Linked DNA regions of Oreochromis niloticus. The protein of the gene in region 2 purifies or fractionates together with the protein of the main gene of each other region. This does not show direct contact. Links are inferred from orthologs where the notes say so. Each region holds a gene or a part of one and is shown on either strand. Other genes may lie near its edges.

Region 1 (7,963 bases), on a different chromosome or scaffold from region 2:
CTGTGAGGGGAAGCCACAGCAGCCTGCAGAAAAGCCACACAAGCAAAACGTGCTCACAGAAAGCTCTAAAATCAGATTCGAAGTCAGAACCTTCAAGCTGTGAGGCTCCGCCAAGACACCCAGTTCCCAAAGACAAGTCAGTAATAAGTTTAGTAAGCACTGCGGCATCAGCTCAAACCTCGCACAACAGAAGGATACAAATCTGGGAGAACTGTGCACACGTGTCACTGTGGGGAAAGAAGAAATCATTGAAACATTTTGTGGTTTAACTGCAAGCACATTAACATCTCTGTTTAGAGGTATTACATCAAATGCTTGTTAGACTGACAGCGTGATCGAGGAAGGTTTAGGGCTGATCTTTACAGTAGCAGCAGCAGTTTGCAAAACCTGGGAGCTGATTCTAAGAGAAAAGCAAGGTAACGACGATGCCCAATCAATCAACCCAATCACCTTTGACGGCTGAGGGGTAAAAAGGTCAAAATAAAAACTGTGTGTATGCAGATAAACTGTTAGATAATTCAATCTGGCAAATTCTTTACAAACTTTGTTGACAACAGATAACTTGTCTCGCTCTAATGGTAATACAAGCAGAAGTAAATCTAAAGAGAGGCATAGCATTTTAAAAATAGTGGAGGAAATGCTAACTGCTGCTCTTCTCATATACATCTAGAGTATATACATTAAGGTAGTAAAGTAACTGAATTAAATAAGCAGCCATTAAAAGTCGGATGTACAGGCTTGGTGACACAGGGAGGAAAAGGTGTGAAAAGTGATCCTCTTTACATGAATGTCAAAAACCCACAATGATCAACACTTTTCCAAACTCTTCATTCTTCATTTAGTGGTGACTCACACAAAATTCCACGGCACATACAATTTTTGGTGACTGGTAAGTTACGAACAGGTAACAGAAGACTTTATAACACATCTTTTTAAAAAGATGAAGTTTATCCACAACTTCAATAAGGTCAGTCACCTGCCTGCTTTTCTGTTCTTCCACTTTCCCCACACTGTCAAGCTCAGTACTTGTGTCATTACTCTAGTCAAATCATCCTGTCCATCTTCTTTGAGCCAATTAGCCTCTGCTTTGCATGGCTTAAACAGACTCGTCCATGCAACCAACCTCCTCCCTATCTCCACCTCAGCCATAGCTCCACCCAAGCCTCAGTCTTCATCTTCACCACCACCAGAGTCTAGACTCCAGGGGGTCCTGTCCCAAATCCCATCACTGCTGGGATTCTGTTCTGCTATGATGGATCAACGGGGTCTAATCGCCAAATACATTAACTTTTCTATTTCAATAAATCATGCTACGTCAATCAACATTCATAATCGCTGTATGTATCACAATGTTTCTGCAAAGTTTAATTCCGAATGGCCGACACGATGAGTAGGAGGCAGGGTACACACAGACTTACGTCATGGTCATTATAGTAAGAGACAGACCTGTACAACTGATTCAATATGGAGAAGCTGGAACTAAATGATGTGTAACAAATCATATCTACAAACATCCATGAAGCACCATGTCATGTGATTTTAAAGTCGCCACAGCAGGTTTTGCTAGTACACCTCAATCTATTGTTGATTTTATGTACAGTTAATTCCATGCAGGTAACTTTAAATCTTGGTTCATCCTTTAACAGTTTACTTTCAACTAAAATCACTCTACCTAACACATCTTTACCTCTTGGCCTCCACTTTGATGGCCACGCAACATTTCTGGGCCGCCTCTGAGACCCTGTCATCCTCCCAGCTGGACATCAGCTGTGCTGACTGTTCATCTTCTCCTAAGGACAGAGTGACAGGAAACTGATGAGACATGTGGTCAAAACTACGGGTCCAGCTTCACTGATGGAACTGCAAAAGAAGCGCAGATCTCATCTTTTCCAACTCTTACAGTAACGTCCCTCTGCGTAATCTGGGAACCACTTTTCTCTCCTCTGTTCTCAGTGTTTCTGTGATGCATTGATGTATTACAGAAACAACTGTGCCAGGTTGGAGGCACAAAACCAGAGATTTTGACTCCACAGAAAACAGAAGCTGTTTGTCACTTTGTGTCAGCTTCATGCTCAACAACATCTGTTCAGATCAAAATCCATACACTGTTGTATACTACTAACACTGTCTATATCTGGTCCAGTGTGATGCTGAGACTTATTGTAGAGAGCTATTTAAAGGAGACCATGCCATGAGTCTAGTTCTTTATAATTCGTTATTTATTTTACATACGATCCTAATCCTTTCCATAAATGTTTCTTTTTGCATCTCGCTTTCTGATTAATTACAAAACACAGAGATATATGCGGCATATCGTGAACCATGCTGACTATGTGGAGCTCCTTTTGCTCCACAGCGCCCTGTCATACTGTGATGTAGCGCTGAGGCTGGCCAAGTAAGTGTACTCAGCTACTGTTCTGCAGGTGGACGGACTGTCCCTCATTTATGAAATCCTCGGACTGGCCTGCGGAATGCAAACAACTAACGCTAGCGTTACGTCAGCCCGGTTCAGCTGTGAGGACAGCAGGTGCTGTTGCACAGGACGTTACGCCGACAGACCCTGTACACCATAGATACGTTACTAGACTTCTGTATTCTTGCTGTCGGTGGGTATTCATCAAATACATATGACGACTTCTTTCATAACACACTGACTATGCTAATTAGCTAATGGCTACAATGGCTTCCAACGCTAACTGGCTAGCACTCTATAGAGTTTCCGCATGTTTTCAACTGTTACCTGTGATGACAACGACAAAGACCAAACTCCGTTGTTTAGCCGATTTAATGGCATCAGGAATTGAGCCCTGAAACCAAAACATCATTGCAAGTTGAGTTCTGTGTTTCTGCTTTGGAGACACAGACGAGCAGCTAGGCTAACCAAACCTAAAGCCCAGTCAGCCTGTCACTTTCTACTTCCGCTCCCAGCGCATATCAGCTGGCTGCAGCGTCAGCTTCTCTTCTTCTTCTCCCCTGTTTAGCGCCCCAAGTGTTGCATTACTGCCTCCTCCAGTTTCACTAATTAATCACAATCGTATCATTGCTATCCGGACTTTATGCTAATAAATTATTGTCGAAAAGAGTCTCCTCCTGTTCTTCCCTGACCCTAAACTTTGCAAATCTGTAATCACCTCTCCTCTTGTTCATTGCATCCATGTGTCAAATCAACACAGTTACATTCTAAAGAATAATGGGGAGTAATGGAGTGGTTATGAACTGTAGCAAAGAGTGTTTATTTAATAAAAAACGGGCTTATGGGAGGTCCAGGCCCACCCACCGAAGTAACTGCCATAGTGATGGGCAAAGCACGGCTTCGTGAAACAACGTAACGTATTTAAAAGAGACATAAATACTAATTTCACTTTCTGTGGGGATCATCCAGAAACTGTGACACACCTTTTTTGGTACTGTTCTTCTACACAGAGCTTCCGGAAGGAATTTAGCTGGTTTGTTATTGTCCATATTTTGAGGGGGTTTTCTTTACGATTGGAAAATGTTTTATTCTGTTTCTTTAAGTTCCCCGAGAAGAATGATAAATGTTTTTTATATAATAAATTTCTTAATACATTTAGCTAATTGTTTTATCCATAAATCTACGTTTAATAATAAAACACCATATTTCTGTCACTTTCTTAAGGATGTAGAATTGTACATAAACTCAATATCAGACTCCACCAACAAAAAGGCTCTTAAAACAATTCATATATGTGAATTTTTGCGTGTATTTATATAGTTATTTTTTTCCCCTGGTTTTGTGTGTTCGTGTTCTTTTCTCTTGTATACCTCATCTGTTTATATGTTGTATACTCATTGTTTGTTCAATAAAGTTCTTTAAAAAAAAAAATGAAAACAAAACAAAGCGTAATGTTCGAAGCGTTACAGCCGGTCGAGGCTTCGAAACAGTCGGAAACACATGTCCACAGTGACATCTGCTGGCCAATTTGACTATCGCCATATATTGATAATACTGTTCTGTGAAACACTGATGCAGACAAGCCCTGCACAATTCCAAGCAGAACTACTTACAATACCAGACTGTCAGTAATGGCGATGAGCACATGTTTTGGAGAAACTCCCACACAAACAAAGAAAGAACAATACTGAGACTGTTAAAGACAGCAGGTGATGATCCTAATAAACAGTGTGCTTCAACAAAATTCTCTCTCTGTTAACATTTGTGTTGCTTACAGTAAGTCAGTTTATAAAGTAATACATACAGAGAGCAGACTGCTGTGGTTACTGTAATAACCACACAGGCTTCCAGCTGGTGTTGTTTTTGCTCACAGCCCTCAAAGACTGGATGTGTTTGGTTGATTTTTAAGTTTTCTAGGAGTTATCAGGTTTGTTCTACACACTGTCAAGTAAAGTTAGAAGATGGCATAACATTCGCTTTTATTTTTAATTAATTTAAAAAATATTCATTTAAATGAAATGTGTTTTCCTTCTTTGTAAAAAGTTCACATTTCTCACATTTTCATTGGCTAATTCTGACCAATCGTAAGAGTCCATTTCACACACCATCTTTCAACTCTGCTGTGCAACCTCTGAACCATGAAGAAACTTTCCTTAAATTTCTATTGCTGTATCTTGTAACACTGATGTGATGTTTGAATCAGAAGTTTTGGTTATAGTGAACCTGCGGCCTCCTGTTGTTTATGAGATATTTGAAGTGAATAAAAAAGGGAAAAGAAAAATCTGTCATGTCATCTGTGGGTTTTTTCTAGATTTTATTTTTACAGAATAAATATTTTACTTATGGTGACACAGTATGTGAGTAACAGGTTATTGTGATGATGAAGTCACTAATGCTGCAAATAACACTTTCTGTTGAAAGCAGAGAACAGACTCCTCCTGTTTTATTTTGTCCTTGAAAGCAGAGGCGAGTTTTATTAAGCTATTATAATTAATGTACAGCACAGAGTGCCGCTCTCTCTCTCTGCTGATATGAGTTAATGGAGCTCACCCACAAGTCTCTGTTTTTCTTGCTTTCTCTCATCTGTATGACAGTAATTGTTGAATAAGATGATTATTCGTCAATCTAATATTTATTTAATTACACTTTTGATTCCAGTGTTTGAGTCATTGAATGGTCTAAATTGGTCTTCACAATCCACAGCAGGTGGGGTATTGCTTCTTTTACACATGCACCTGTAATAAATCCAAGCGGTAGTATTAAAAACATTAACTCAGTATTTACAGATGAAACTGGTTCATGAGAAACTGGCACTGCCTAAAGCAGCAGGTACACAACCTGTAATAATAAGTGTAATAAGAGAAAGGGTGTAGTCAGCACTTTGTGTAGATGTCTCAAAGTTGTGGGCACAGTGCCAAAACTCTGTCCTAAACCTTTTCACTCAGTCTTTATAATGAGGGTTTTGAGGCAAGCTCCACTGATTATGATAGTAATACTGGGATTTCCATGAAATGAACTGAGCTGTCTTTGACTTTGACCATGACTTAATCACCTGTAGTGTGTAAAGACACCACTAAAGCTGAACTGAACTGCTGCATTTGACTTGCTACCTTTTCAGTTTTCCTTCCATTGCTTTCACAGTAACTTCCAATATGTGCTGCTTACACATCACCATCCAGGAAACTGACTTCTTTAGACTGTGCCACTCTGAGCAGAAATAGATGAGCTTATTGACGTCTTCTTATTTGTTGTTACTTCTGTAACATCGATTACTTCTGAAAAGAACTTCAACATTGTTCCTCCCTTGTGGCAGCGGAGAAGCAGACGTGAGCTTTACCAGAAGAGACTGTGCTGTAAAGTGCAGCCCGGAGCTGCAGAAGCAGCACACGTGTGAAGCACGAGCAGAATAAAGGAAAGACTCTCTGAACAGTTTCCAGGGTCTCCCCATAACAGCCAGTGATACAAATATAATTTTGTTGTTATTTATCAAAAAATTGATAAATAACTCTAACTATGTCTTATATTTGAGATTCCTGAGAGTAGCCACCCTTTGCTTTGTTGAGTGCTGCAAACCCTTGGCCTTCTCTTCATTATGTAGTCACCTGAGAGTTCTGGGTCATGTTGACCCAGCATTTTGAGTTTCTTGTGTTTTGGTGTTAATTTGTATTATGTTTATGTTTTAGGTTCATTAGTAGTCTTAAGTTTAGTCTGTTCTGAGTTTCTTATTCTTATATTGCCTGCTTTGTAGCCTGAAAATATCTTAAAAGTTTATTTTGTGATCCAGAAAGAGTAATATTTCAAACTCCGCCGCTCTGCGTTCCTCTGCAAATGCCTTGTTTGAGTTTTGGACGAAATGCATACTGGGATATTTGCCTGGGTTTGGTTACAGTAGCTAGCGAGCTGAATGGAGAAACTAAAGCAGCCAATCAGAATTTTTGCATCCAAATCTGTGATTTTTTGGTTTTGTGGCACAAATATAATGCTGTACAGAAAGAGTTGAACGTGCAGGGGCAGAGATGTTGAAAGCGCGAGCAACACATTGAGAGCAGGTCCGCAGAGATCTGAGCAAGAGCAAATGCAAAACCTGAGCGAGAGGAATAAATTTCTCCTCAAAATGCAACACTTGTACTTTTTTTTTTACGTGCTCTCAGAATAGTGAGACAAAAATAACACCATAGTGTTTGACCTCTGTGTCCCTCCCTGTGTGTTTGTGTTTATGTGTGCGTGTGTGTCCTTGTGTCTTGTTTCTCTTTTCTCTTCCCATGTTTCGCTTCTTGTGTTTCATTCCACGTTCCCCCCGTCTATGGATTTTTTAGGTGCTGGTAACATATTGTACTATTTAAAATAAAATACACATACAAAAAAAATGTAAAATCGTTTTTTGTTTTAAAAATATTTTTGTTTGTTTGTTTTTGTAATTAAATGGGTTAAGAATTTCATGCATATTTTTAGCCAGAAAATTGCGTGTTTTTTCCTTTATCTAAAGAATCAGTAGCTTCCAACACACACACGAGATGTTTTTATTAATTTATTTCTTTGACTGTGAACTTTTGTCACACTTGGTCTTCCATACCGGGAAGCTCGTCACACCAGGCTGTAACTTTCACTTTTGATTTGGAGCTGTTTCCGGCACAACAGGGCCACTTTGTTTCTTTTCTAACTTCGACAGAAAATAATAAGTACTCAAAAAAGAGGCAGTGCAGTCACAGCTGGCTGATTTTTGGATCGTAGCTACCAAGTGAAGTTTTCATATCTGTTTCTTTTTTGTCATTCAGACCATGGCTGAGGTCTTCGGTAGTCGCTCGCTAAATGATAAGGTGAGTAATAATGTGTTCGTCTGTTTGTTTGTTTTAGTCCGTCTAAGAAGAAACAAGTGGTCCACAGTTGTTAACGATGCCATTCTTTCTTGGCAGAAGGAAGGAGGCCTGGATAAAGACGGTGAACTGAAGGAGGCCAAGCGAGAGTTGGAGGCATGGAAGGTAGGCCGGAACTAATGCTGAACTACATTTTCCATTTTCAGGCGTGAAGTGTTTTAGTTCAATAGTAAAATAAGTTCACGATCCAATCGTCAAAATACATTTATGGGAAAACGACAACTGCTCAGCCGGAAGTGTCTTCATTCTCCGTTTATAGAAGAAGGTGGTTTGTTTACTCAGTACTGTGAGTGATCTGAGTGATTTAAACAGTAATTACAGTTCTCAGATCTCTTATTTAAGTCGAGATGCAATCCTGCATCGTAAAGGCAAGCCCGGAACTAAGTATGTTCTACAAATAAACGCACTGGACTGAAAAGCCTGAAAGAGTCTATCTAAATGCCCATATTATAATAAATGTCATAATATTCATTGATATAATTTATTAGCATTGAGACATCACGGGATACATTTTATTTACACATTTGAGATTAAACTTTAAATGGTTACTTATATTTGGCTGCACAGAACATGCAGTTTGCAGCTGAGGTTTGCAGTAAACAGGGAGAAACCGTAAAGCAGCTCGCTTCAGCAACTGAAAGTCAGATGGAATGGGCCCAGGCAGCATTCCATAGGG
Region 2 (7,226 bases):
CTGTGCCCCTTGGGCGGACTTCAAGCTGAACTTATTAACGTATACCAGGAATAGCTAGTCATCAGCAGTGTCTGCAGCTGTCCACACAACAGAGTATAATCAACTTTTACATATCAGCACACTCAGACAAGCTGGATTCTATAAAAGGACGTGACCTATGATTATCTACCTCAACGCCTACACACTTTAATTCCAGACAACGTTAGGAGAAGTTGGGATTGTGTCCAAAGTAACACGCAACACAAATCAGTCTACTTCAGATATGTTCTGACTCCTTCTTATACTGTATGAAATGTGATCATTCTACTCACGTGGTGGTTGAGTAGAAAGCTGTTGAGGTTTCTGGCCTGATGCAAACTGTTTGGCATCAGCCAGTGAGCTGAAGAGGGCAGCAAAGGGGTTGCGGGAGATGTTCTGGTTGTTGTTGCCCTGGTCAGTCATCTCATTGGGGCTCAACACTCACTCCATCCAAGATCCCAGCTCTAGGGACTGAATATCTTTAAAAAAAACAAAAAAAAGAGCAGATGGCAATTTCAACACACTTAAATGAACAGTATCATCATCACACACAAACAAGTGTATTTTTGTTTAGTTTGGTCACTGTTATTTTGATTTAATATGCAGATCTTCATGATGTTGGCCACTTTACCAAACTCATCTGTCCAGCACACTCAAGTTCAACATGTTTTACTGTCAGCACGTTGTTGCCTTCAGGGTACAGTTGCACAACCTCAAGTACTATTAAAGAAGGCAGAGCCATAAGGGAACCAGTAGCTCTGTTTTAATTTGTCACGTGACTGTCTGGAGGCTAAGTTAAATGCACTTTTTGCACCTTTGTAATACACTGCACCTCCCTCATCTCTCCCTACAAATATATTCTGAAAATGACACAATTAACATTCCTTTTAATCTTAAGTTGTTAAATTGCAAACACTGGCTTAAAATAACACCTTACTATTCAGGGCTTCCGTAACATTTTTGGTTTTAGTGTATTTAGTTTCACAGCTGAATGGCCATCATAACTTTCTTTTCATCTTTACAAGGTAATAGAGTTATTAAATACTATAAGTAGTAAATATTTCAGTGTATTACATTTAAACAGCAATAATTTCCTACATAGAAAAACTGCTAGTGACCACCAAGGACATGTTTTTTTAATTTTTTACTTAATATAAACGTGTAATATAATGATATTATTCCTACAGCAATGCTATGGCTTTAAGCTCCTTGACACACACAACAATGAGACAAGTCGAGGCATACTGTATATGAGAGCTGCATGTAAGACTCCAGTGACAATTTAGTAAAACTGGAGCTCCAACAAAGCCAAATATTCAAGAAGACTGTTCCTGCTTAAGGTGGAAACAACAAACTTGTTTCACCACTTGAGGGAAAAACACAGTGAAGTACTACCAGACTATAAAGGAAGAGATTCAAGCAGCTGGTGATGTGAAACCCAAACATAATCATGGCACCTTGTTTCAGTGGATTCACACTTTGAATTAGGTAGTACATCATCAGTGACAGGAACTCAATGCAAAACAAGGGCAAAGAATGCCCTTATTTACTTATAGTTATAAATACACCTGACTGCAAGCATCAATAAAACATTTAGTATGTTGTTTTTTCATCATAAATATCATTACTGCAAACTGTCTTGAAATACTCAGCATCTCAAACTGAGTGGCTTGGAGACACTTTTCGAGTGACAGGGCTGAGGTGGTTTGGACATATGCAGAGGACGGATAGTGGATATATCGGATAAAAGGTGTTGCACATAGAGCTGCCAAGCAAGGAGGAAAAGAGGAACACCACAAAAGAGTTTCATGCATGCAATGAAGGACCTGCAGATGGCTACTGTAACAGAGGAAGAGGAGGATGCAAGGAATAGGGTGAGATGGAGATAGATGATCCCCTGTGGTTTCCCCCTACAGGGAGCAACCTCAAGAAGAAGAAGTAGCAAATGTTCTTGAAATATCATAACATAATTTTTAAGGGCATATCGCCCACCCCCTATTTAAACTGAATAGATCTGTACTAATTCAGATGAATTTTAGTCTACAATAACACTGCATTTTGCAAGTTCTCATCGACACACACAAGAACCCTAAAACAAGTACTTATATGCAAATGCTTTCAACACATTAACTCCTGCATGCTGTTTCAATACTGCAGTGCTATCAGACAGATACCATATAGAAGGAGTTCACTTTTATTGTAACTCTATTTTTGGAATATTAAAGTTTTGCACCCTCAAATTGCATTTTAAATGTCTTTAAATAATCTGTAGTCACTATTTTTTCTCTATAAAAGTAACACAATACGGATCAACGAGGTTTAGAGAAGATGATAAGCTGTCTAAATGGGCACTTGTTGTTATTACTATAAAATAGAGTGTATCTCCACGTGCATTAGACATCGTGAGATGATAACCTGGGACAAAAAGGTCGTTGTCTGCTGAGCCCTACTTTCTGATGATGCTAGAAAGTTTTTAGCACGACAAACAGTAACTCAGTAACAGTAACAGTAACATATGGACTGACCGCCTGTCTAGGTAGAGCTCACCTCTTCCGCAGATTACAGTTACTGTGCGTAGTCAGGTTTATCAGTTCAGCACCTTACAGCTTTAACTCTCGCCACTTTACGAAGACAGCTTCGCAGCTAGTCACCTTTACGCTGTTCTGAGAGAGTCACATCACCTGTTAGCCGTGTTAGTGCGCAGAAGATGAGCTGCTTGACGGTTTTGTGCTAACTAGCTAGCAGGTGGAGCTAGCAGCCCTGACCGCCCTGCTGGTGCTGCTGCTGCTAAGCTGAGCTGTCATGGGGTCACCAAGGCTCGATTTCAACTTTAATTTCATAAACTCAAATGAGGGTTTCAGGTATTATCAACCTAAATAATATATACAAACGATAAAGACGGCTGTCGTACCTGTTTGACGAGAAGTAATGTGTATTTTGATTTTTAAAATTGCTTCTACGAAACCAATGCCAGTTCCTCAGTAAATAGTAAACGTTTTCTTCTTTTTCCTAAAACGGCTGCTGCGAGCTGTATCAGTCCGTCGGCGCCACCGTTCGGTCAGGAGTGATTATTGCGTTGGGGAATTTCTTAACTCACTTATTCGATCTCATAAATGTGTGTGTTAATGAGAGGGGAGGTGGAAATGCGAAGACGCAAGGATTACACATTGTGAATGTGTATTAGTTTCAATATCTGGGCTCAATCATACAAATCAGCGGTGGGTGCACAAGAGAGGTGAAGAAGAGACTGCGAGTGGTACTGGACAAAGGATTTTGAATATGGAACTCCCAGGCAGGAGGAAAAGAGAAAGACCACAGAGAAAAATAATATTTTATTTTATTTTTTGCCATCTATAAGTTAAAAAAATTGAGTCATTATCTTAAAAAAATGGCCTTAAAATTGGAATTTCAAGTTATTTTCTCAATTCCAACTTATTTTCTCAGACATTTGGGTTAGTAAGTTAAAATTTTTTGATGTTTTGACGTTTTTTCAGCACTCTGCTGGTGGTAAACACCTGTTTTCAGTCTATTTATTTCTAAACTTTACATTCTTTCTTCTACACGTTTTGACAGTTTATAAAATCTATAGTAAATCTTTCTGATATCTTTTCAGAGCCGGTATTGGTATTGGTTTGATATTAGTGTGATAAGATCAATACTTTGTTTCTGTCCTCTAAGTTAAATTAATTATTTTTTGGGGGGGAAATGAAAAAAATATTGAAAATACATGAAAAGCTGAAAGGTGGGATTTGTTGTGTGAACCAATCATTGTGCTCAACACTGAAAGTCAAGTATTTCAAAATGTTGAGATTATAAACTGAAGTTGTGATTTATGGTTGGCAAAACCCCTGCAGCAGAAAGACACTTCTACAAAAAAGAGAGGAAACAGGGGACAAGAGGAACCAATTAAACAGGCAAAATGCACAACAAAATATATAAAATCATTGCAAGTGAGGTTCAACACAGCAACAGACATGCAATATAAACACACAAACAGTCACAAGATGCAGAATGACTGCAAAAAGATGTAAACAGAACAGAATGAGATGCAACCTGAACAAAACTACAAACTGAGTCTTTCTCATTTGTAGAAGTTGTGGTCTTTGTGGTTTAACTGACTCTCCCACTTTTTTCCTACTAAATTACTTGGATTTGTTTATGACGTCTGATCTCAGAGCTCATTTTACATATTTACGCACAAGTTAATTTCCATGAATTCCCACAGAGCTGCTATCCAAACAAACCCAACACGAACCTAAATTAAAGTCTTTTGCAAAGCAGACAGAGACTCACAATGTCCTATACAGTATTATCCAGTATTAGTGTAAGTCTTCTACCCACACTAATAAGACCATTATTACCATTAATTTTGAATGAAGTACGCAGTTGTTGTTGCACGTGTTTGGTTTTGCTTTATTCTTAGTTCAGGAACCTCAAACACTGATGATAATTTACCCATCTCTTGACACCAGGAACACCCTGTAAGTTTTCACATTTACAAAACTACATGGCTTTTAGAGTTTTAATAAATCAGCACTTCTGAGTAGCAGTGTTATAGTCAGTGAACATGTGCAACTCTGAAACTGATAGAACCTCAGCTGACTGATTTAAGGATGACTTGCAGTTATTTAACATGACTGAATTAATTGTAACCACATTAGCGTATTTGTTAGCACTTCAGCTGCAGTTTGTCCAGTGTGTCAGATCCTGTCAGCTATGACAGGATCTGACACACTGGATCTGCCTTCTACTAAAGCCTGGAGTGTTTGCTGGCCATCAGCAGAGGGCAGCAGCAGACCTATTGTTAGAAGCCCATTTCAGATTATCACACTGCTCAAAGAATTAAACACTTTCATCAGAGTATTAATCAAGTCAGTTAAACTTCTGGGATATTGATTTGATCAGTGAAGTAGCGTGGGGGTGGCGGGTGGTTAATCAGTTTCAGCGGCTGTGGTGTTAACAAAATTACCAATAGATGCACTAGAGAGGCAACAGTGAGACAACCCCCAACACGGGAATGGTTTTACTGGCTAGATTTGTTGTCTCTACTGGTAGCATGAAGCGATACCTGGTCCCCCACCTGCTAGTGAGCCCTGTGCTCACTGCCTGGCACTGTGGAGAACAACTGGCATTTGCAATAGAATACCAGAATTGGCAGGTCCATCACCAGTGTCCTGTGCTTTTCACAGATGAAAGCAGGTTCACCCTGAGCACATGTGACAGACATGAAAACTGAAGAAACCATGACCGGTTTGGTGGTGGGTCAGTGATTATCTGGGGAGGCATATCCATGGAGAGGGACACAGACCTCTACAGGCTAAGCAACGGTACCCTGATTGTCATTAGGCATCAGGATGAAATCCTTGGACACATTATAAGTCGCTACATTTGACTTCAGCCCTCTGTAGGTTGATCATTTTCATTTCCTTCAATGTAGCCTCTTTTCATTCCTAACAGATTACCCCATCTCCATATTTGTGTATTGTCTTTAATCTTGCATCTTTTCCCATATTAAAGCCAGAATATCTTCAGTAAATAACTTTTCACTCATCATGGAGTTTTGAAGACAAACAGTGGTGAAAAATGAGACCTGACTGAGGATCATTTAATGTTTTATGAAACTTTCTGTCAGTCTTTCCAGACGTGGTCAGTTTGTACAAAGCAGCTTCAATACTGAACAGTGCTTCACATAAAACAGAGTTTCTGCTGTCCACAGATGCATACCATATCAATGTTCAGACAACATGTTTGATTTTTTAACTGGAACTATTAGAACAAAATTATAAAAATAATAGATTTCTTCATGTACAAGAAAACGTACATTGACGCAACATTGACAATAAAAAAACAACAACAAAAAAACAAAAACAAACATAAGTTCTTATATCCAACATGGTAAGGACAAATTTAGTACAATCAAAAATGTAGTGTTTAATCACTTACTTCATGAACATCCTTCTCTTTGATGTGTTAAATCTTAAATTACATGAACAAATACTTTCACTGAGCTACTTATTCACCATTTTTCAAAATAGGGCGCGATATTTACAGTTAAACCTTCAATTGTAATCCTGTAAAAATGTTGTCACAGTCTACGTCTTGAGAAGGCTCAGCCTCTCAGTGAAATGTGTTTCAGTCTTTGTTTCCAGTGGCTCCGTTTGTCTTCATGGCTTTTTTTCTCCTTCACATGATGTACAAGAAGCTCCACTAGTGAGTTCCCTTTGACCTTTTTTCTTGGTGCATCTGCTCCACAGTAGTCCAGTAGCATTCTAGCACTTAGTGTTCACTATTTGCTGTACTGCACCCCTTTGCCCCGTCTTAACCAGTCCCTCCACGGGGATTGGTTTTTGTCCTGATCGCAGTCTGAATTCCAGGAGGAAGCCGACGACTGGCGTGACCACGTGGAGGCCGTCCTGCTGGGTCTGCGAAAGAATGACATGCTGTTGTTGGAGGCGGGCTTCTTCTGAGGCTGCTCCAACTGCTGCTGGGACTTGAGCTGCTGGTTGATGAAGATCTGGATGTCATCCTGGGGAAAGGTGGGGAGGAAGAGGAAATGAGCAGCAAGTCCTAGGAGCCGGGACTCAGTCTGGTATCCCGTGATTGTCAAAGATAACATGTTAGTACTAGAGTCGTAGTATTAAAGAAGCAAACTAGTTATCATTAAGTCTCACGAGAAAACCAACAAAGTACTGACTCTTAAAAAAAAATGGAGCTGCCAGGCAGGAGGAAAAGAGGAAGACCTCAGAGAAGATTCATTGATGTGGTAAAGCAGGGGCCGGTGTCCTGCTGGTTTTAGATATCACACCTGAATCAAATGATTAGTTCATTACTAGGCCTCTGCAGAACTTCAAGACATGTTGAGGAGGTAATTTAGCCATTTAAATCAGCTGTGTTGGATCAAAGATACATCTAAACCTGCAGGACACCGGCCCTTGAGGCCTAGAATTCCCCCACCCCTGTGGTAAAGGATGACATGCAGAGGGGTGGTGTGACAGAGGAGGATGCTAGGGATAGGGTGAGATGGAGGCAGATGATCTGCTGTTGCGACTCCTAAAGGGAGCAGCCGGAGGAGGAGGAAAAAGAAAAACTATACTGGTTTAAAGCTATTGATCACAATCAAACCGTTGGGAGATGGATTGTGACAATGTGCATTTAAGCATATTTGTTCATAATAGTAAAAAGAGGTTATAAAACAACTTCCTTGTCAG

What was found.
Region 1: the proteins of ube4a (region 2) and ubxn4 purify together in Homo sapiens (affinity purification with mass spectrometry; 3 studies listed by BioGRID and IntAct, counting the BioPlex papers as one, with this or other methods). This does not show direct contact. The link is inferred for Oreochromis niloticus from reciprocal best matches to the Homo sapiens genes UBE4A and UBXN4.

The regions. Positions count from the first base shown.
Region 1 is NC_031987.2:33,063,037-33,070,999, forward strand, and holds the start of ubxn4 (UBX domain-containing protein 4), read right to left. Parts: upstream 3,123-7,963; 5' UTR 2,826-3,122; coding exon 2,741-2,825; intron 1,791-2,740; coding exon 1,688-1,790; intron 228-1,687; coding exon 199-227; intron 1-198. Other genes in the region: nmi (N-myc-interactor), read left to right, coding at 7,192-7,230, 7,327-7,392. UniProt on the Homo sapiens protein: Involved in endoplasmic reticulum-associated protein degradation (ERAD). Acts as a platform to recruit both UBQLN1 and VCP to the ER during ERAD.
Region 2 is NC_031979.2:20,134,024-20,141,249, reverse strand, and holds the start of ube4a (ubiquitin conjugation factor E4 A), read right to left. Parts: upstream 3,070-7,226; 5' UTR 2,930-3,069; intron 2,796-2,929; exon of another isoform or gene 2,566-2,795; intron 498-2,565; 5' UTR 442-497; coding exon 312-441; intron 1-311. Other genes in the region: si:ch211-235m3.5 (BICD family-like cargo adapter 1), read right to left, coding at 6,305-6,544.